Linked DNA regions of Elephas maximus indicus. The protein of the gene in region 1 purifies or fractionates together with the protein of each later gene. This does not show direct contact. Links are inferred from orthologs where the notes say so. Each region holds a gene or a part of one and is shown in the gene's direction. Other genes may lie near its edges.

Evidence for each region.
Region 2: the proteins of CD84 (region 1) and SH2D1A purify together in Homo sapiens (affinity purification with western blotting; 4 studies listed by BioGRID and IntAct, with this or other methods). This does not show direct contact. The link is inferred for Elephas maximus indicus from reciprocal best matches to the Homo sapiens genes CD84 and SH2D1A.
Region 3: the proteins of CD84 (region 1) and SH2D1B purify together in Homo sapiens (affinity purification with western blotting; 3 studies listed by BioGRID and IntAct, with this or other methods). This does not show direct contact. The link is inferred for Elephas maximus indicus from reciprocal best matches to the Homo sapiens genes CD84 and SH2D1B.

The regions. Positions count from the first base shown.
Region 1 is NC_064821.1:199,305,157-199,312,145, reverse strand, and holds the start of CD84 (SLAM family member 5), read left to right. Parts: upstream 1-3,904; 5' UTR 3,905-3,943; coding exon 3,944-3,989; intron 3,990-6,989. UniProt on the Homo sapiens protein: Self-ligand receptor of the signaling lymphocytic activation molecule (SLAM) family.
Region 2 is NC_064846.1:32,313,434-32,320,453, reverse strand, and holds the start of SH2D1A (SH2 domain-containing protein 1A), read left to right. Parts: upstream 1-4,015; 5' UTR 4,016-4,203; coding exon 4,204-4,340; intron 4,341-7,020.
Region 3 is NC_064821.1:201,677,252-201,684,934, reverse strand, and holds the start of SH2D1B (SH2 domain-containing protein 1B), read left to right. Parts: upstream 1-4,576; 5' UTR 4,577-4,648; coding exon 4,649-4,782; intron 4,783-7,683. UniProt on the Homo sapiens protein: Cytoplasmic adapter regulating receptors of the signaling lymphocytic activation molecule (SLAM) family such as CD84, SLAMF1, LY9 and CD244. In SLAM signaling seems to cooperate with SH2D1A/SAP.

The DNA.
Region 1 (6,989 bases):
TGAAATTTGATATGTGATCACTCCCATGATGGAATGTGCTGAGCAGTACCGGTGGGGGTAAGTTCTTCATCTCTCCGCCTTCCAAAGTCTACTTCCTTTTCCTGCTCACCTTGCAAAGGTTTTTGGGTTGTTCTGGATCCAGCAGCTGATTCTTGTCTGACTTCTGGTTCTTGGGACTTGAGCTAGCAGCTTACTTGTCCATCTTGTGATTAGCCGATCGTCACAACCTGTGAGCAAGAGTCCTGCTCCCGGCCTGCCTATCTTGGGTTTGCCAGCCCCTGCAGCTGACTCAGGAGAAACTTTGAAGTCTTGCTTGCTGACCTTTGGGATTCCTCGACCGTCACAACTTGAGAGCGGAATCCCTGCTCTCCAACCTGTTCATCTTGGGTTCACCATCTTCTGCAGCTCCATGAATTGGGAAAGGATTCTATCCTGATCCAAGGACTTGGGACGTTCCAACCCCTACAATCGTGTGGGCTGTTTCTTTAATTAAATGTCTCTCTATATATTTATAAGCATTACTAGTTTTGCTTCTCTGGAGAACCCAGCCTAAGAGGGTCTCCATATCACTTCTCTATACAACTAACACATCATAGGTATGTGTTTTTGTACATGTAGTAATTCCATATTTCAGTAAAGCATGCCTTAAGCTAGATTCTCTAGAGAAGCAAAACCAGTAAAGTATGTAAACAAATAGAGAGAGAGAGAGATTTATATCAAGAAAATGGCTCACACAGTTGTAAAAACCGGCATGTCCCAAATCCATGGGTCAGACTGGAGGCTTCTCCTAATTCACATAGCCACAGGGGTTGAGGAACCCAAGACTGGTAAGTGAGAAAGCAGGGTTCCTATTCACAGGCTGTGAAGACCAACGAATCCCAAGATCAGTGGGCAAGGCTGCAAGTAATCTGCTAGCTCAAGTCCCAAGAACTGGAGTCAGATGAACAGGAGCCAGCCGCAGGATGCAGAGTGAGCAAACAGCCCGTGAGCAGAATGTTCACTTATATCCCATGCAGGTCACACACTCAAGGATACTCCCTTTCAACTGATTGGCTACTCACAGCAGATCCCATTATAGGGGAGATCACATTATATCAAATCTCATCATGGAAGTGATCACATCATCATACAACTGCCAAACTACATCATAACTACCAAACCTCTGAGAATCATGGCCCAGCCAAGTTTATACACAACCCTAGTGATCACAGTGTGTTTGCTAAAAAAAACACGAAGGAAATATGGTTTAACCTTGTGAAATGAAATCATAATGAATTTGGGAAATTTCATTTTTATTTTCAACCCTTCTTTGAAATATCTGCTCATTTCATTGTATCTACATAAAGGCACTCAACTCTTCCACACAGAGCAAGTATATGTGGGGGAACCATCAGCAGGATTGTCCAGTGAATGATTCCAAAGGCTTAAGTTGTCTAGAAAGGAGCTAGCTGGCTGGAGGACTCCTTCTCTAAGCGGGAAAGGCTGTACACAATCCTATTTTTCCCAGGTCACCAGGGGCCATGTCCCCGGCTTTCCCAGTACTCCCCAAAATGGCTGGGTCCAAGTTCAGGCTGCTTGGTTTCTGAGTCCAGATGTTTATACCTATCACCAACCCCACCTCCACTTCCCCACATACAAGGCCACACACAATTATTCTTGTAACAGGGTTGGGGGCTCAAACCCAGCCTAAGCATGCCTCTCTGTGCCTGCTATCTCATGCCCATGAGTTCCAATCTTTAGCAAGTGACACGCTGATATTTACCTGAGTTCCCTAATTCACTGAGTGATTTTGGGAAAAATCACTTCCTCTCTGAGCCTCAGCTTCCCTATCTGCAAAATAGACCATATAGTCTCAAAATCCCTTTGAACTCTGAACTTTATCGTGACTTTATTTTGTCCCTAATAAGGTATGATCATCATTATATTAATTGCTACCATTTATTAAGCTCCTGTCGTCGGGTCGTCGGGTAGTACAAACAGTTAATGAGCTTGGCTGCTGTTGTGGATTGAATTGTGTCCCCAAAAATGTGTATCAACTTGGCTAAGCCACGATTCCCAGTATTATGAGGTTGTCCACCATTTTGTTATCTGATGTGATTTTCCTATGTGTTGTAAATTCTGCCTCTATGATGTTAATTAGGCAGGATTAGAGGCAGTTATGTTAGTAAGGCAAGACTAGATCTACAAGATGAAGTGAATCTCTTTTGTGATGTAAAAGAGTGAAGTGAGCAGAGACTCATTCTTCAATCTGTCTCAGCTTGGTTGTGAGTTCCATCAGGTAGCCTTCTCCAAACCCCCCTAGTTAGGGTTAGATGCCCCTGCTACTCTTATGTTGTTATTGTTGTGCGCCATCAAGGGGATTCTGACATATAGTAACCCTATATGTCAGAATAGAACTGCCCCGTAGGGTTTTGTAGGCTATAGTCTTTACAGGAGCAGATCCTCAGGTCTTTTCTCCTGCTGAGCAGCTGGTAAGATCGAACCAGCACCCTCCTTTCATGGAGCTTATACTCTTACTGAGGAGACTAAAGATTACATAGGCAATTCCAATATAGTGTGATAAATGTTGCAAGAGGAGAAATACAGGAAACTAGGATAGCAGCAAGGAGCAGTGGTGGCGCAGTGGTTAAGTGCCAGCTGCTAACCAAAAGGTTAGCAGTTCAAACCCACCAGCTAACCCAACAGCCGCTTTGCAGGAGAAAGATATGGCAGTGTGCTTCCATAAATATTATACCCTTGGAAACCCTATGGGGCAGTTCTACTCTCTCCTATAGGGTCACCATGAGTCACAAGTTGACTCAACAGCAATGGGTTTTTGGTTTTTGACGGAAGAAGCAAGGAGCCCTGGTGGTACAATAGTTAAGTGCTCACCCCCATTAGAATTAACCAAAAAAAAAAAAAAAAAAAAACATCGTCATCAAGTCAATTCTGACTCATAGTGACCATACAGGACAGAGTAGAACTGCCCCATGTGCTTTCCAAGGAGATCCTGATGGATTTGAACCACCGACCTTTTGGTTAGCAGCTGTAGCTCTTAACTACTACACCACCAGTGTTTCCCCGATTAGAATAGCAATGATGAAACAAACAGAAAACAACAGGTGTTGGTGAGGTTATAGAGAAGATGGAGCCCTCATCCATTGCTGGTGGGAAAATAAAATGGTATAGCCGCTGTGAAGAACAGTTTAGTGGTTCCTCAGAAAGTTAAACATAGAACTATCATATGACCCAGCAATCCTAATCCTACGTATACACCCAGATGAAGTGAAACCCTAGTGGCATAGTGGTTAAGAGCTACAGCTACTAACCAAAAAGTCAGCAGTTCAATCCAACAGGTACTCCTTGGAAACTCTATGGGGTAATGTTCATTGCAGCACTTTTTACAATAGACAAAAATTAGAAACAGCCTAAATATTCATCCATTCTGTGTAAGAAAACCTGTGGAATTAGTTCTGCCTGTTAAGAAATTGTGATTTTTTTCCCCTTGTAACCTAGCCAAAACCTAATGTTGCCAGTTTATTTCCAAGGGGCTTTTGTGTAACTGTGACCACTCTGTGAACTCTTTATGGTAACTAAGTGGCAACTAACCAAGAAAGATCAGCTTCTTTGTTAATCTTTATATTGCCAGTGCCTAGAATAATAGTACTGGCATGTAGTAAAAAAAAAACAAAAATTGTTTTGTTTTGTTTTTTTTTTTTACCTGGCACATAGTAGGCACTCAATAAATATTTGTTGAAGAAATAAATATATACACTAACACCAGGCTCTTTATGTTATGTAATAGGAAAAACTAGTATCATAATACAAAGACCAGTGCCCCTTAAAACAGTTAACTCATACTTCCTTTCTTAAAACGTGACTATAAAAAGAAAACTCAAGTGAAACAAACTCTCTTCTTGAAGGCTGCCTTTCTTGTCCACAGAAGATTAGACGCTGGAAGAAAATGGCTCAGCACCGCCTGTGGATCTTGCTGCTTTGCATGCAAACCTGTAAGTTCTGACCCTTGCTGACCCTCTCCTAGTCTTTCCACAAAGTTTTAGAAATTGTCCTTGAGGAAGATATTGAAGTGCCCTTTTGATGTGTGTTTTTAACAGAAACACCTTGAGTCTCTGTATAAAAAAAATCTGTATATGCTGTACTCAAAAAAGGCTGGGGAGAAACTAAGATTCAACCTAAATATTTTTCAGCTCTGGAGTTGACGTTTCTGAATTTTATCTGTGCCCAGTCTCCAAAGGTCTGAGATAAAACCCGTTGTTCAGGACAGTCAGCGCTTAGTAGACCCACCCACAGAGCCCAGCAAAAACATAGATAATCTAAAACCTTGAAAAATTTTAAAAAACAATTTCTTTTACCCATTAGAATGTGTTATTTGGTTTTTGATAAAGATACGCTCTCCTGATTATATTTCGTTGTTCTATCATGTTATAGTAATGCATTACTTATGATTATCACCGTAAAAACCTCATTTCTATAAAAATCAATGAAACTTATTGCTGTGGAGTCGATTCCGACTCATAGCAACCCTATAGGACACAGTAGAATTGCTCCAAGGATCAGTTGGTGGACTGGAACTGCCGACCTTTTGTTGGCAGCCGTAGCTCTTAACCCCTACACCACCAGGCCCTCGTTTCTATAAGATCCCTTTATTTTCAAAGCATGTTCAGAGCTAGTACTCTGCTTTTATCCTCCAAAACCCTCTAAAATAAATGGGGAAGAGATTATTACCCTACTTTACGAATAAATTAAGTTTCAAAAATGAGGTGGAGAACTTGAGCTAAAAATCTTGTTTTTCTCACTTATGGCTTTAGGGTAAACTATAAAGGATAAAATAAAAATTGGTTGTTGTTATTACAAGGAGAACTATGTAGCATTAACATAGATTTGAGGATGCTTTATTATTTCACATATTTATCTCATTAACTGCAAACAATTGTCCTGTTTGTATAAAAATTGACTGTGTTTGACATTTCCGAATCATTATTTCTAGTGTGTCTTACAGCTCTGAAAATGCTATAGTAAATTTCTGGCACGATTTAGAACCCAGGGAACTTGAAGAGTAAAGATTTTCTTAAGGTGGGATAATGCACCTTGGTTTCTGGTTTCCTGGACCATTGAAAGCTGTAGCTCCCTTAATTTGAGCTTCGTGGAGATTGCAACCTCTAGGCTGGTCAAGTTTTTGAACCCTATCGTGGTTGCCCTGGTCTGGCAGACAGAAAATGCAAGTAAATTAGGAAAAGAGCTGGGTAGAACCTAAGTGGAATTCTCAGGTCCTATCCAGTCATCCAGAGACAAGCTGGACAGTGTGGCATTTGATACTACTTAATTTGCAAAGCAGTCCACAATTTTCATGCCTACGTTCTTGGAAACCCTGGTGGCGTAGTGGTTAAGAGCTAAGGCTGCTAACCAAAAGGATGGCGGTTTGAATCAACCAGATGCTCCTTGGAAACTATATGGGGAAGTTCTACTCTGTCCTATAGGCTCGCTGTGAGTCAGAATCGACTCGATGGCAATGGGTTTTAGGAAACCCTGGTGGCGTAGTGGTTAAGAGTTTGGTTGCTAACCAAAGGGTCGGCAGTTCAAATCCACCAGGTGCTCCTTGGAAACCCTATGGGGCAGTTCTACTCTGTCTTATAGTATCACTATGAGTTGGAATTCTCTTTTTGTTTAAGTGTTCAATAATTTTTTTTTTGTGTGTGTGTGTGGTGAAAATATACACAACAAAACTCCGCCAATTCAACAACTTCTACATGAATAACTCAGTTGTGCAACCATAATGGCTATCCTTTTCCAAATTATTCCACCACCATTAACATAAACTCAATGTCCCCTAAGCAAAAACTTCCCTTTTTCCCCCTCCTTCCCACTCCTGGTAACCACTAATAATACACTTCAATTTCTATATATTTGCCTAGTCCTTATAAGTGAGATCATATAATATTTGTCCTTTTGTGACTGACTGACTTTACCCAGTATAATGTTTGCAAAGTTTATCCATGTTGTGGCATGCATTAGAACTTCATTTCTCTTTATGGCTGCATGATATTCCGTTGTATGTATATACCACATTTCCTTTATCCACCCGTTGATGAACATTTAAGTTGCTTCCACATTTTACCTATTACAAAAAGTGCTGTAATGAACATTGGTGTACAGGTTTCTGTTTGCCGTGCTTCGTTGGCTTCTTCTGGGTGTATACCTAGGATTAGGATTGCTGGGTCATATGATAGTTCTATGTTTAACTTTTTGAAGAACCACTAAACTGTTTTTCATAGTGGCTATACCATTTTACTTTCCCACCAGCAAAGAATGAGAGTTCCAGTTTCTCCACAACCTCACCAACACCCTTCAACGCCGTTGTTTGTTTCCTCATTGCGATTCTAATGGGGGAAACCCTGGTGGTATAGTGCTTAAGAACTACAGCTGCTAACCAAAAGTCGGCAGTTTGAATCCACCAGGCACTCCTTGGAAACCACATGGGGCAGTTCTGCTCTGTCCTATATAGGGTTGCTATGAGTCGGAATTGACTTGACAACAATGGGTTTCGGTTTTTTTTGTTGTTGTTTATTCAAATGGGAGTGAGGTGGTATCTCATTGTGGTTTTGGTTTGCATCTTCCTAATGATTAATGGGAAACCCTGGTGGCATAGTGGTTATGTGTGATGGCTGCTAACCAAAAGATCAGCAGTTCAAATCCACCGGGCACTCTTCGGGAGCCCTGTGGGGCAGTTCTACTCTGTCCTATAGGATCGTTATGAGCAGGAATTGACTCAACAGCAATGGGTTTGGGTTTTTTTTTTTTAATGACTAATGACATTGAACATCTTTTCATGTGCCTGTTCAGTCATTTAAATATCCTCTTTGTCTTCTCTGATCTACTGAAACTGAAGTCGAAGTGATCAGGTTGGAAAGTGGTAAATCATTCAAACTTCAGCTTCAAAATGGAGAGCTATTGGTACCTATCCAGTAGGAATCACCTATAATGATATCTAT
Region 2 (7,020 bases), on another chromosome or scaffold:
AGGCGCTGTGTTTTTCTTTTCTCTAACCTAAGTGCCTACTGCAGTGCCTGGCAACACAGTAAACCAAACCAAACCCAACTTGTTGCCATCGAGTTGATTCCGACCCATAGTCACCGTATAGGACAGAGTAGATCTGCCCCATAGGGTTTCCAAGGAACTGCTCATGGATTCAAACTGCCCACCTCTTGGTTAGCAGCTGTAGCTCTTAACCACTGTGCCACCAGGGCTTGTAAATGTCTCTTGAGAGAATAAATACGTTTAAAACAGGTTTAAATCAACACACACAAGAACTCTATCTCTGGCTTCCCACTTACAATTTTTAAAATATTATCAAAAGGAGATGCTCTTTTTTTAAGATCCCTTATTTTTTTCTTTTCTAATTTTTGTAAAGGAAGTGAATCTTAGTGAGTACCGAGAGAATGTGTAAATTCGCAATAGGTGACAACATCATAACACTGTCACAGGAGAATTCACACCTATAGAAGAGCCAGTTGAAGAACAAAGTTAGTTTTGAAAGGTTAGAGAAAAAGACTTTTTGAAATGTCAGATCCACTCTACAAAATTGACCAGCCTTGGCATCAGCCCTATAATCTACCTGGGTCTGAGAATAGCCTAGGGCATTTGAAATGAAGACAATTAGCACCTCAGACAGGGCATCCCCATGCAAAATCCTGTCACTTCTCATAGGCTTCAGGAGATGACAAGCTTGAATAGGAAGATACTTTCAACCTTGGCTGACAGTTTTTCTAACTTCAGTGCTTTTATATTTTATTTAAGTGGCATCTATATTATAAAAGGCTGTAGTTTGCTGGAAACTGTGAAGCTCTCTTCCTCTACTTCATGGTTTTTATTCTCAGTTTATTTAAAAAAAACAACAACAAAAATCGCTCCCCTATTGGGTGAGACTTGAGGAAACAGCTCTTGCTTCTTGCACACAAACGAGCTCGGTACATTTCCCCTGTTTTTCTGTAAAGCATGCTTGGCTTTCCTTTAAAGCACAGGGTGTGAAAGCTGGAAATGACCTTAGGGGTCATCTGGTTCGACTCCATTTTACAGATGTGGAAGATGAGGCTGAGAGAGAGGAAGTGATTTAGTGGCAAGACAAGGAGCATAATTGGACTGTCATAATTACTGGACTAGTGTTCATCCCAATCAATCTTGCTGTTTCGAAGGTGGGCAGGAGGCACGTAGAGCTAAATGTGTGTGTGTGTGTGTGTGTGTGTGTGTATGTTTGTAAGGAGCCCTGGTAACGCAGTGGTTAAGTGCTTGGCTGCTAACCAAAAGATCAGCAGTTCAAACCCACCAGCGCTCTGTGGGAGAAAGGTGTGGCAGTCTGCTTCTGTAAAGATTACAGCCTTGGAAACTCTATGGGGCAGTTTTATTCTGTTCTATAGGGCCTCTACGATTCGAATCCACTTGATGGCAATGGGCTTGGTTTGGTGTGTGTTTTTGTGTATGTGTGTGTAAAATAGCATTTCAATATTTTTTTCTTTTATTTTCTTGAGAGCATTAATTTCATTTATTCAACAAATATTATTGACTCGATGGCAACCTACAACAACAACGACATACTCCAGTACCGGGGATACAGTGGCGAACAAAGCCTACGAAGTCCTGCTGTCATGAACCTTAGGTTCTAGTGGGAGAGACAGAAAACAAGCAATTAGTCAACTAATTCTGCTTCCAAATGGGCAGAATCCTAACCAATCCTTTTTCAGTTGGTGTCTCCACCATGTCCATGGCTCCTCTCTCTCATTTTTTTCCCCTCATTTCTTGTGGGTATGGAGAGAGAGGAGAAAAAGAACCATTTCCACGCCTCTTTTCTCTACATTTCAAGCTCAGTGTGAAGCTTTGAATTGCTAAAGTCAAGTGTTTGGTTCTGTTGTATATAGGGTCCATATGAGTCGGAAGCGACTCAATGGCACCTAACAACAACTACAAAGTCCGGTTTAGTACCGGTGTAGCATTACAGTGAAGATGTCTATTTTTCAACACTGCAGTAGTGGGCAGCTGGCTTAGCTGTCAGCTTGCTTGTGAGACAATGAGGCACTGGATATGGGAGTTGTACTATTACCTTATAATTTCTCTGTTCTTTTTTCATACGATCTTAGTTGTGCTGGAACCCATTGGACCTGGCTGCTTTGACAGGTGTGCTATTTTAGCAACACAGAAAAAAACACAGAAAGAAAAGAAGGATGTATGGTAAGCTTTTGCTGTCAGATCTAGGTTGCTCTGTTCCTAAGTTTGTGGATGATTTGTTCAGGGTTGTTCAGAGACAACAAAGGTTAGGTTTTGCTTTTACCTATGTGACACTGAGTGTTCTTACGGTTCACTTCACAGGCAGGCTGTTGTCCATACAGACTGATATGAGGGGATCCCCTTCCCTATCTTCTCCTTTCACGTTTGAAACCCCACCATTGTGATTCATTTCTCTGGGTTTAACCATTTACCCTCTCAGAATACAAAGAGTCTGGGGGCGGGGGGGCGGTTAGCTTCTCCAATCCTTAACATTGGAGTATGCATTCACTTCCCAGATCGGTCTCTTCCTTGACCCAAAGCCTGAAAAGGGGCGAGAGGTGGAGTTGGGCAAAAACAAGTGAGGTTGGAGGATGATGAGACAACTTCTGCCCAGTTCCCAAGATCCATCCCCATATGTTATCTTGAATGCTGTTTTTTTTTTTTTTTTTTTTTTAATTCTTGGTGTTGAAAATGACTGCAGAGGCTTATGTTTACATAAACACTTTAGGTTCAACACTAAGGTTGACAGACTCTACATTAGTTACTGTTAAGGCTGGGCACTCTTCAATCAAGGAGAGTGGCTACTAGTTGCCTCTTAAATCTTAGAGGATTGTTTGTTCTTAAGCATTTTGGGTAGGGAGCAAATATCTGGTTGTGGTATAAGGCAGCTATGTGCATCTGATCCATTGGTAAGAAAACGTGAGGAATAAAAATCATTCTTCCTACTGAGCTCCCGGCCTTGCTATGTTCTCAAAGAACTAGGCATCGAAGTAATGGAAGGTATACAACAGGCTATTTAAATTCTGATTAAAAAAGTATTCTACATGACCTAAACGTACATGTGTAAGACCATTCAGCTTTAGGCATTAAACAAAGTCTTATTTTATTGAAAATGGAGGATGTTTTGGGGAAATATTGCTTAACAGTGCATTTTGAACTAGAATCAATGATTTTTACTTCAGAGAAGGAAATGAGGTTGAAATAAAAAAAAATTAACAACAGTTTAGCATCATTTGAAGAAAAAAACATATTCTCTAGAAACAACAGAGAACAAAATTAACAGCGCAATTGTCACCATTTGCAAAAAAGATTTAAAACAGGTTTTATGCCCCAGGTTCTGAAGAAGGGCCCTATATATCAAAGGGCACATACGTGTCCACATAAAGGCAAAGCACCAATTAGCTGATTCATTCTCTCATCTATGATCCATCAAATAGATAAATCTGGAACATTTTTGGACACAGACTGTGATTTCTGTACCTCAGCCAGTACCTTGGGATTTCGGACAGGATGGTAGGAAAAAAATCAATATTTGGTCAGGCCTAAGATTGCTCAAGATGGCTACATGAGGGAGGAGGAGGAGGAAGATGAAGGGTTTACCCAGTGTCCACTGTTCACCTACTACCTCTCCTTCTGTAGGAGCCTCGTGGTCATGTTCAGTAATAACACCCATACTTTTGGTGTTTTGATCTCAGAGCTTTTAGTCCTTCCATTCTCTGTCAGTATGTTAGCGCCCCACATGAGGGCCATATTCAATTTGCCTTTATCAAGCATCCCTTTGGGGGCTAGTTAAGCTGAGTTATCCTTGGTGGCCCCTGAGAAAACTGGAAGAACAGAAGCGCTGCCAAGGGTTCCTGTCTGTGTGCAAGGTCTGCATTGGTAGTGCAGCTCAAACCCTGTTGCCAGGACTTTCTTCCCTTCTCCATATGATTAAAGTGTGGGGAAAGGGAGGTGAACCTGGTGGCAATAGCCAAGCTGCTAAATTGCTGAGTTGGTCTTAACCGAAGTGTGAGAAGGAGGTTTTAAGGCACGTCGACAACATCCTGTTGTTCGGCTGCTTCTCTCTCTTTTTCACACATCTGGCTGAACTGGGATCCAGGTGGCTGACTAGTGCCTAGCCGTAGAAGCTGTGGCTTCTCCCTTCTCCCTTCCTCCGCCTCGGCCTGCCCTAGAGTCCACCAGGCCATGGAGGCGGTGACTGTGTATCACGGCAAAATCAGCCGAGAGACCGGGGAAAAGCTCCTGCTCGCCACCGGTCTGGACGGCAGCTATCTGCTGAGGGACAGTGAGAGCGTCCCGGGCGTGTACTGCCTGTGTGTTCTGTGAGTACTTCGCCGCGGGGGGCCCAGGACCTGGCCTGCAGCAGTCAGCCTTGGGCCTGTCAAGGGCACGGGCTATGGGTGGGGGTGGCCAGGGCACGCAGGCAGGGGTAAAAGAGCAGCCGAAGCTCCAGGGGCCTCCTCTGCTCGCTCAGCGGCCCCGAGGGCGCCTTCTGGCCCAGCCTGGGGCCGTAGTGGACCACACTTTGACCTAGACAGCTCGCTGGGGCTTTCACGTCCTGGGCTCCTGGTGCTCCAGAAGGACCTCACCAGGGCCTTTTGGGGGCAGCTGCAGAGAATGCCGTTTTGGGTAGGAAAACACGGCCTGGAATTTACTGTCACTCCAAAAAAGATCCAGGCTCCCGGACTCTGCTTTGCCTTCAAGTTGGAGGTCAGCAAGGTGGAGCCTGGGAATGGTGGATTGGCCATATTTGGGGTCACCAGTCCCGAGAAAAGGAAAGGCCTCTCTTCAGCCAGCTTTCTTTAAATGATTTTGGAGGCATCATCCCAAAGGAAGACCATGGAATTCAAGGAAAGGAAGAAGACTCAAAAACTGAGTCCATTACTTTTGAGAATGCAATGCTACTTAGGTTGGCATGGCTGAGAGGGGGGATGGTTGTGAATAAAACTGTTTCTCTGGGTCTGCTTATTTAGCTTCCTTTAAAGGAATTGTGTGGCGGTTGGAGGTTTCAGAAAGGGGACCCTTTATTTGAAAAAAGCCAAGACTGACAACAGTCATAAAGGGCACAGAGGGAAAACGCTCTTGTTATGATTCAACCTTGCCCTTGGCTTAGACATGTCTCAGGCTAAATTGCCATTTTGAAACAGACACACCTTCCTTTGTTATTGCTCCAGGGCTCCAGAGTCAGGCAGATCTGAGATCCAACCCTGTGCTAGTCAGATGCTAGTCTTGTGACCTCTGGCAAGTTAACCCCTCAGTCCCTTTGATTTGTCATCCATAAAATGGGTGTAATATTTCACAGGACTGTGAGGATTAAATGCCATAATGCACATAAAAAACTTAGGACTGGACCTGACACGTAGTAAATGTTCAATAAGCGTAAGCTAGTGTTATTATTACTACCTTCTTCTATTTTCAGTTTGATTTCTTTTAGTACTCTGTGTGTGTGTGGGGGGGGTATTTCCAGGGAAGGTCCTAGCCCGAACACTTTCAGCAACAGGGTAAAAGTACCCATGAAAATAGCAGCCCTGCACAGTAGTTCCTAGGCAGAAACAAAATGAGGAAGAATGCTTGGTTTAGTACCTAATGATAGACTGCAAGATTTTGCAGTACCGTTTGGGTCAGTGGAGAAAGATTACATTGAGGCTGGTGTTAGAGGATTTCCATTTGTATGTTGGCTTTTTAAAAGGGGCAATCCACGTTTGTGGCAACTCTCAGTTAAGCGGAATACCCTCACTCTCTGGCACGCTAAACCAATTTATTGTAAAGACTTCAAGGGAAATACGTGGAAGCTATTGAATCTCTTGAGCAGGTCTTCATGTTTGGCTTATATTATTGTTTTCCCCAACTGGAAACTAGGGAAGGCCAATGAAAGCCATCTGGCGCTCCCCGGCTTTTTTCTTATCAAAAGGAGGCAGAAGAGTGAGTGGGTGGTGAAAGCGGCTGCTTTAGAAAAGCTGACAAAGGAGATGATGGGCCTAAACCTAGAGGTACAAAAAGAAGGTACAAAAGAAGCCTGGGTAGGGAAGCATAAGATTGCTGTTTTTTTTTTTTTTTTTAAGTAAAATACAGAACTTTAGCCTTTTGCTCATGTAGGTCAGGGCCACATAAGTAATTAATTCAAGCAGGTGGAAAATTTTCAAACATTTAGCTTTCACCCAAAGTGAATCTTGCATAAATGCATTTTTTAAAATGACTGGTAGCTTTCCATGAAAACCTCCTATTAAGTAGCAGAAAATAGGGTTAGTAGGCAAATTGAGAGTCTCCAAGTGTGTCTTCTGATTGGTACACAGCGGCCTCCCAGTCTAATGGAACTGTTTAGAGTGATAGCAGGGTTTTCAGGCTCTGCTGCGATACAATGATACATTGCCTTTTAGCAGAGTTTCTCAACCTTTTTGAGCCCAGGGTCCCTCCCCCACCTTTTTTTTTTTTTTTAATTTTACCTTGTTCTATATGGAATATTTATTTAGTAGCATATATCCCAGGGTCCTTTTTGATGAAGAAATATTTATTTCATGGCCCCCATAAATATTTCATGCCCCCTTTTTGGTACTACACTAGAATAACAAAGAAATCTATTTTTAATTTGAAACAAACCACATACTCATTGTAAAACAAAACTCTTATGTTTATGTTAGGCAGTTGAAATAAAAATGTAAATGCTACCGTACACATGTCCAACAAGATATAGTTAACAAGCATGCATTGACTATAGGATTCACTTGGAAAGGTTATTCATTCAATCTTTTGTTAATTTCCATTATCCAAGAATGTTTTGTTGAGCTTTAGTTTCTGTCTTTTTGTTGCAGAAATAGCACATTGCGTATGCCTTTCAAACTACTGTGTGGTTTGGGGGCTGTTGAGCTGATTCCAACTCATAGCGATCCCATGTGACAAAGTAGAACTGCCCTGTAGGGTTTTCCAGGCTGTAATCTTTATGGGAGCAGATTGCCAGCTCTTCTTCCCGCAGAGCCACTGGGTAGGTTTAAACTGCCAACCTTT
Region 3 (7,683 bases), about 2.4 Mb from region 1:
AACATCTCAATTGATATTCTGTCAATTCCTGAAGGCTTGTTTTTTGCCATTGCCTTCAGGCAGCTTGGACTTCTTCCTTCAGTACCATTGGTTCCTGATCATATGCTACCTCTCAAAATGCTTGAATATCAACTAATTCTTTTTGATATAATGACTTCGTGTATTCCTTCCATCTTCTTTTGATGCTCCTTTGTAATTTAATATTTTCCCCACAGAATCCTTCACTATTGCAACTTGAGGCTTGGATTTTTTTCTTCAGTTCTTTCAGCCTGAGAAACGCCGAGCATGTTCTTCCCATTTGGTTTTCTATCTCCAACTCTTTGCACATGGCATTATAATACTTTGTCTTCTCGAGCCACCCTTTGAAATCTTCTGTTCAGTTATTTTACTTCATCATTTCTTCCTTTTGCTTTAGCTGCTCGATGTTCGTGAGCAAGTTTCAGAGTCTCCTCTGACATCCATCTTGGTCTTTTCTTTATTTATATCTGTATACCCCCCCAACCTTAATCAGGATTCTGCTATAAATTCCTTGATCAAAATGTTCAGTAATGGTAGCTGAGCACCATCCAGTTCTTCTGGTTTCATGGCAAAGGAGGCAGTTGTTCTTGGGGGCAATTAGCCACACATTCCATATCTTCCTCCTAATCCTGACTGTCCTCCTTTCTCTGTTGCTCCACATGAATAGAGACCAATAGAACTATCTATATGGAATCAGACAGAACTATCTATATGGGATCAAATTGATAACAGCAACTGGAAAGATTAAATAGGAATCTTAGGAGTCCGTGAATTTACATTAATGAGGGAGGAACAATTCAGAAAAGGAGGGTGAGAATGGTTGCACAACTGGAAGAATGTAATCAGTGTCATTGAATTGTACATGTAGAAACTGTTGAATTGGTGTGTATTTTGCTGTGTATGTTCTCAACAATAACAACAAAATAAATAAAATTTAAAAAGATACTACCTTTTGCATAAGTCATTTTGTGCTGCTTCTGCCTGTATAATTTTGTGACAGATTTCTAGAACTGAGATTGTTCATGTGAATGTACATGTAACTTTTCCAAGCTCCCTTTGCTGGCGTTGTAATCACTTTGTAGTCTAACCAAAGATCTATGAGAGATCCTATTTCACTATAGCATAAGCAACCCCGTCTGTTGTTAAACTTCTGATTTTCATTAATGGATAGATGAGAGATGTTATCTCGATATGGATTTAATTTTCCATTTCTTTTAATATGAGTGCATATAAGGGTACTGGGTTTTGAAATAGGAAAAAAGTAAGCAAAGCCCTGGGATGACCAAGAGCCTGAGCATGCACCCAATTATTTCCTACCAAGGAGTTTCTGGGTGATGCAAATGGTTAATGCGCTCAGCTCCTAACTGAAAAGTTGGAAGTTCAAGTCCACCCACAGGTGCCTGGGAAGAAAAGCCTGGTGATTTACTCCCAAAAACAAATCAGCCGTTGAAAATCCTATAGAGCACAATTCTACTCTGACACACATGGGGTTGCCATGAGTTGGAATCAATTTGATGGCAGTGGGTTTGTTTTGTTATGTCAAAAAGCATCCTTACAGCAAGCTTGGTACCCAATTTTGTCTTCCAACAGTAATAATTCTATCCTCAATTGCTATAATTCCTCTGGAATTAAGTTAAGACTTGCCCAAGACCACACAAGTAACAAGAAGATAAACTTGGATTTGAAAGCCTATCTCTCTGATATCAGGTTCCCTGGTTAGTGAAACTCCACTACACCAACAGCAGAACAGTGAGGTTTCCAAGGAAGAACAAAGATCTGCAACAAGGACGTTTCCTGGAAGGACAGCTAGTAGGCAGAAGAGCAAGATGAAATAACTTTCTGGAAAGTGACTTCACTAGGATTGGTGTCATCCAGTGTGGTAACTCATAAAGTCACCCGGCTGGGGTGCGGAGGGCGGATGTCAAACCTCCCCAGCTCCCAGTGGGTGGAGGGGCCCAGTCCCACCCCGCCCCGATGCAGGGCCAAGTTCTGAGCTGCCTGGCCCTGCCCCTTCCAGTCCTGCAGCCCCACAGCTCCCTGCAAATCTCTTCCTTTCTCTCACTGGTCAAGGCAGAGACCCTGACTGGCAGTTGAGGTGGGGGGTAGTGCTGAGTTACCACAGTGGGGGATGGGTGACACCATCTCTACTGATGCCATGCCTTGGCAGCCTCTCTCCGGTCTGCCTGCCGCTGCCACCACCATGGACCCTGCGGTCGTTTGTTGTCAGCCCCTCTGATAGTATCTGGGTCAAGACTACACAGAGCTCTTGAGAAGGAGAAATAAGGATGAGTCATGAGCACATGTTTATAGATATGTACTTGAGATATATAGTGATTCCCACAGATATTTGGTGAGGCAGCTGGATAAAGGGAAAATGATTCACTTAAACAGTAGTTTATACAGATGGACATCATGTGATGGTAACTGTGAGAGCTAAGTAAATGCAATCAAATTAAAAAATTGGATTATAGGTATGATTGCATGGCTTATTTTATCTGAAATTAATGCTACATCAGGTGGTCTGGTTGCGCAAAGAGGCTTTGGGAATTACTCTCAGGGCTAACTCTCACTCTCAGAAAACAAAAGCCATGTGACTACCTGCCTTTCCCAAGAGTATCCACTGATCAAGATGGAAAAGTCTCAGCAGCCTAAAAAAAAAAAAAAAAAGGATTTTCTCATCAGCACTACGTGCCCTGGTCTAAACGGGGTGTCTCTGGCTGGATAGTTTTTTTTTTTTTTGGTCTTTCTTCATGGGGACAGATCACTGCTGTCCCCCAGAATGGGAACTCCATAGGAACTGGGGGTTTCCAAACCCAAGCCCAATATCTTCTTTTCTTCCACCTGGAAGAAGCATTCCTGCGGTAAGTTTTCGTACCCAGTTATCCCTTCCACTTGTACCAGTCACTCCCCCAAAAGGCACAATGCCTGAGGATGTTAAAAATAGCCTTTTTCCCTCGGTGGCTAGGAGCCTTAGTCACGAAATGGACTGTCCTTCCCAGTGGTGTCCAGTTGATTTCTCTTCGCATTGATGTCTTCTATTTTTCATGTAATTTGACCCATGGAAATGTCATCCTTTCAATTTTCCCATTGTGTCTGGACAAATCTGAATTCATTCAGCATTCAAATACCTTTAAAAAAATTTCTTTTATTGTGCTTTAAGTGAAAGTTTACAGTTGAAGTTAGTTTCTCATACAAAAATTTATACACACATTGTTATGTGACCCTAGTTGCTCTCCCTATAATATGATAGAACACTCCTTCTTTCCACACCAGGTTTCCTGTGTCCATTCAACCAGCTTCTGTCCCCTTTGGCCTTATTATCTCACCTCCAGACAGGAGCTGCCCATTTAGTCTCATGTGTCTACTTGAGCTAAGAAGCACTCTCTTCATGAGTATTATTTTATGTCTTATAGTCCAGTCTATTCTTTGTCTGAAGAGTTGGCTTTGGGAATGGTTTCAGTTCTGGATTAACAGAGAGTCCAGGGTCCATGTCTTCTTCCAGAGTCCCTCTAGTCTCAGTCAGACCATTAAGTCTGGTCTTCTTAATAGAATTTGAGTTGTGCACCCCACTTTTCTCCTGCTCTGTCAGAGACTCTCTGTTGTGTTCCCTGTCAGGGCAGTCATTGGTGGTAGCCAGGCACCATCTAGTTCTTCTGGTCTCAGCCGATGGAGTCTCCGGTTTATGTGGCCCCTTTTGTCTCTTGGGCTAATATTTTCCTTGTGTTTTTTGTGTTTTTCATTCTCCTTTGCTCCAGGTGGGTCAGGACCAATTGACCTATCTTAGGCAGCCGCTCCCTAGCTTTTAAGTCTCTAGATGCCAGTCACCAAAATAGGATGCAGAACATTTTCTTAATAACCTTTGTTATGCCAATTGACCTAGATGTCCTCTGAAACCATGGTCCCCCAGACCCCTGTCCCTGCTACTCTGTCCCTCAAAGTGTTTGGTTGTGTTCAGGAAACTTCTCAGCTTTTGGTTTAGTCCGGTTGTGCTAACTTCCCCTGTATTGTGTATTGTCCTTCCTTTCACCTAAAATAATTCTTATCTACTATCTAACTCATGAATACCTTTCACCCTCCCTCTCCTTCCTCCCCACCCTCATAACAGCATCCAAATACTTTTTGAGCACCCATTCTGGGCTAAGCATGGCTAATCATAGGTAGCTTCAGCAGAAAATGGGCAGCTGTTATAGCAAAAGCGGTGGTGCTCTCTCAGGAGAGGATCCTAGCAGCCAGAGGAGGCAAAGCCTAGCAATATAGGGTGATACACAAGGCTGCAGCCCAGTTCTGGGAAGCTTAACTTCAGCATTGCAGCCCCAGCCATTGAACATCACTGTTTCCACTATGTGCTAGAAAGTGTTCCCATCCGATTCTATGAGTCAAAGAAACTTACACTCAAGCCTTTTATATACTGAAATGGCTTGGTCACTTCATCACCCCCGCCCCTCTCACTTCCTGAAGCTGGCTGAGTCTCACAGAGAAACTTCATCTCACTCCCACTGGCCAGAAAAGGAAGAAGTGTTTCCATAGTTACGTCAGGCCAGCTGCCTCCACTTCCCTCCTTAGAGCTGGCCCTCGAATTGGGGCTGGATTTCAGGCCGACAAGGTGGCCTGTGATACGACGGGGCTCTCCATGGATCTACCTTACTACCACGGCCCCTTGACCAAGAGAGACTGTGAGATCTTGCTGCTCAGGGAAGGAGTAGATGGCAACTTTCTGTTGAGGGACAGCGAGTCGGTGCCAGGAGCGCTGTGCCTCTGTGTCTCGTGAGTAACCTTACAGTCAAATACTACATCAAATGTAGTGATGGCAACCAAATATAAAAGGAATTGCATTTCACTCTGACTTTGCAACCCAAATGAGTCGAGTGAGGACTGGGAGAGGTTGGAAAGAAGGCGTCTGTCCCTGCTCTTCCATCTGCCCTCTCTCTCCCTGATGTAAATGCCACCTAAGCAGAGCCTCTGGGTGAAGGAGAGGGCTGCAGGAAGCATGGGAGGTGAGGGGGAGTGGGGAGAAGGTAGAAAAGTGAGAAAGATTCTCTTCTCTAGAAGTCTGTTTATTTGGTATGGAATAGGTTGGGCACCCTTTTGAGATTTCAATCTGAGAGACCAAGTTTTTACATGTATTCTGCTGCCTCTACTTGGAATACTTAAATTATAATAATATTTCACAATTTTTATTCAGATTAGTAAAGGACTTCAACAAGTGTCATTTCCTTGTACACTTCTTGTGTACATAAGCGGCCACCATTTTGTATGTAAGGAAACAGAGACCTGAATGTCTCAAATGACTTGCTTGTGTTAAAACTCATCTGGTGTTTCCAAAAAGTTTGAATTGAGTAAGGAATTCCAGCCCAGGGTATCAGAGCTACCTTGCTGAGGGAACTTGTTTATGCTCAGTTTAAAAAAGCAATCCCAAACAGTTATCAGTAGACACCTCCTATCTTTGTGTGCTCTTCTCTTTGTAGAGTCCACTGACACTTTTCTTCTATTAAAGGAATTAAAACCCAGGTGTCTCTATGGGAGCTACTCAGAAAAAAGTGATTGTCATTACTGTCTTGACAACAAGGAGTTTTTGGATTTCTCCTCACTTATCGACTATCTTGTTATCTGACATTTTGCATTTATGACAACAGGAAAAAATCGACTATCCTACTATTTTACCCATTAACAACGTATGTTGGGTAGTAATAATGCTGGAGTGTGAGGCAAGAGTAATGCTGGCTTTTATGGTTAAGGTTATGTGTCCGCTTGACTGGGCCATGATACTCAGTGGGTTGGCAGTTATATAATGACGTAATCTGGCAGTTATGTTGTGATGTAATCATTCTCGATTTTGCCATCGGATGTGGACATCCTCCTTTTTCGTGTAACACTGATTTCACATAATGACCTGGTCTTTGGAACCTAACCATGTCGATAAGAAAGGAGAGGGTGTATTAACAGATAGAATCCAGTAGCCCATTAAAGGAGAAAACACACTATGACCAAGTGTGGTCCAATCCATCAAAGATGAATTGATTCCATATTAGGAAAATGATGCATCTAATTAAGGTGCCACAGTGGCACAGTGGTTAAAACACTTGGCTCCTAACTGAAAGTTCAGTGGTTTGAACTCACCAGCTGCTCCACAGGAGAAATATGTGGCAGTATGGTTCTATAAAGATATACAGCCTTGGAAATTCTACGAGGCAGTTCTGCTATGGCCTATAGTGTCATTATGAGTCAGAATCAACTCCACAGCAGTGGGTCAGGTCAAGTCATGCATTTAATTAATTTGAGTTATTGATTAATTATTAACTTAATTGATTAAATTAAACATATTGACATGAATAGGTCAATAGTTACAAATGATATGACTCACTCAAATTTGCTTAAAATGTATTAGATAAAATTCAGATTAAACATCCTATTTACATTAGCAAAAATAGTAACATGCAGGAATAAATGTACTATGACATGTGTAAGACTGACTTAAATATCTACTGGGAAGCTTACAAAAAATCTTGAATGAATGGAAGGTCTCAAGTTTGGAAGCTTGTCTGTTCACCTTAAATTAATCTAAAATATTCCATATGTTTCCAGGAGAAAAGACAGATTTTTTTAAAAATTTGCTGCAAGGACAGTGAAGTTGACCTAGGTTAGGGGTAGAACATGGAACCTGCTGGAATAGCCAAAGATTCTTTAATTTAAAAAAGAAAGACTAGCTCTACCAAATATTAAAATATTAATACATTATAAAACTATAGTAATTACTACAGAAATTGAAAGAGTTTGGTACTGACAGATCAATAAAATAGAATATAGAATCCAGAAACAAGGTCAAGTACACATGGAATTTAGCATTTGCTAAAAAGAGTGTTTCGAATCAAAGAGGAAAAGATGAATGATGACTAATGGGCACTTGACTAGTCACTTAGAAAAAAGTAAACCTAGATCCCTTAAAATGAAATTAATTCAAAATGGTTCTAATACTTAACTTATTTTTTAAAAAATGAAATCACAAATATTAAAACACAAATTATTAAAAAAAAAAAAGTCCTGGAATTGAGAAAGCCTTTCTAAGCAAAAAAATGAGATGCAGAAACCATAAAAGAATGACAAACGTGACCATAGTAAAAAAAAAAAAAACTTAAAAGACTATTGACAAAAAAAATAATAATTTTTATTAACATATAAAGAACTTTAAAAAAATCAATAGAAAAATAGAAAGCATACGAGCAGGAGATTCTCAGAAAAGAAAGATATGGAAAAATGCTACAGCTCACTCATAATTAAAGAAATACAAGTTAAAACAACACCAAAAAAAAAAAAAAATCCAAACCCATTGCCGTAGAGTCGATTCCGACTCATAGAGTACCTATAGGACAGAGTAGAACTGCCCCACAGGGTTTCCAAGGAGTAGCTGGTGAATTTGAACTGCTGATGTTTTGGTTAGCACCTGAGTTCTTAACCACTGCACCACCAGGCCCCTAAGAATAGTAAGATGCCATTTTTTCCTATTCAATGGACAAGAATTCAAACTGTGAAAATGCCTAGAGGAATTAGAGTGTTGGGAAACAGTCTTGCACACTTTGATACAACCTGTTTGAATCATAAAAAAACTCATTGCCATCGAGTCGATTGTGACTCATGGTGACCCAATAGGACAAAGTAGAAAAGCCGTGA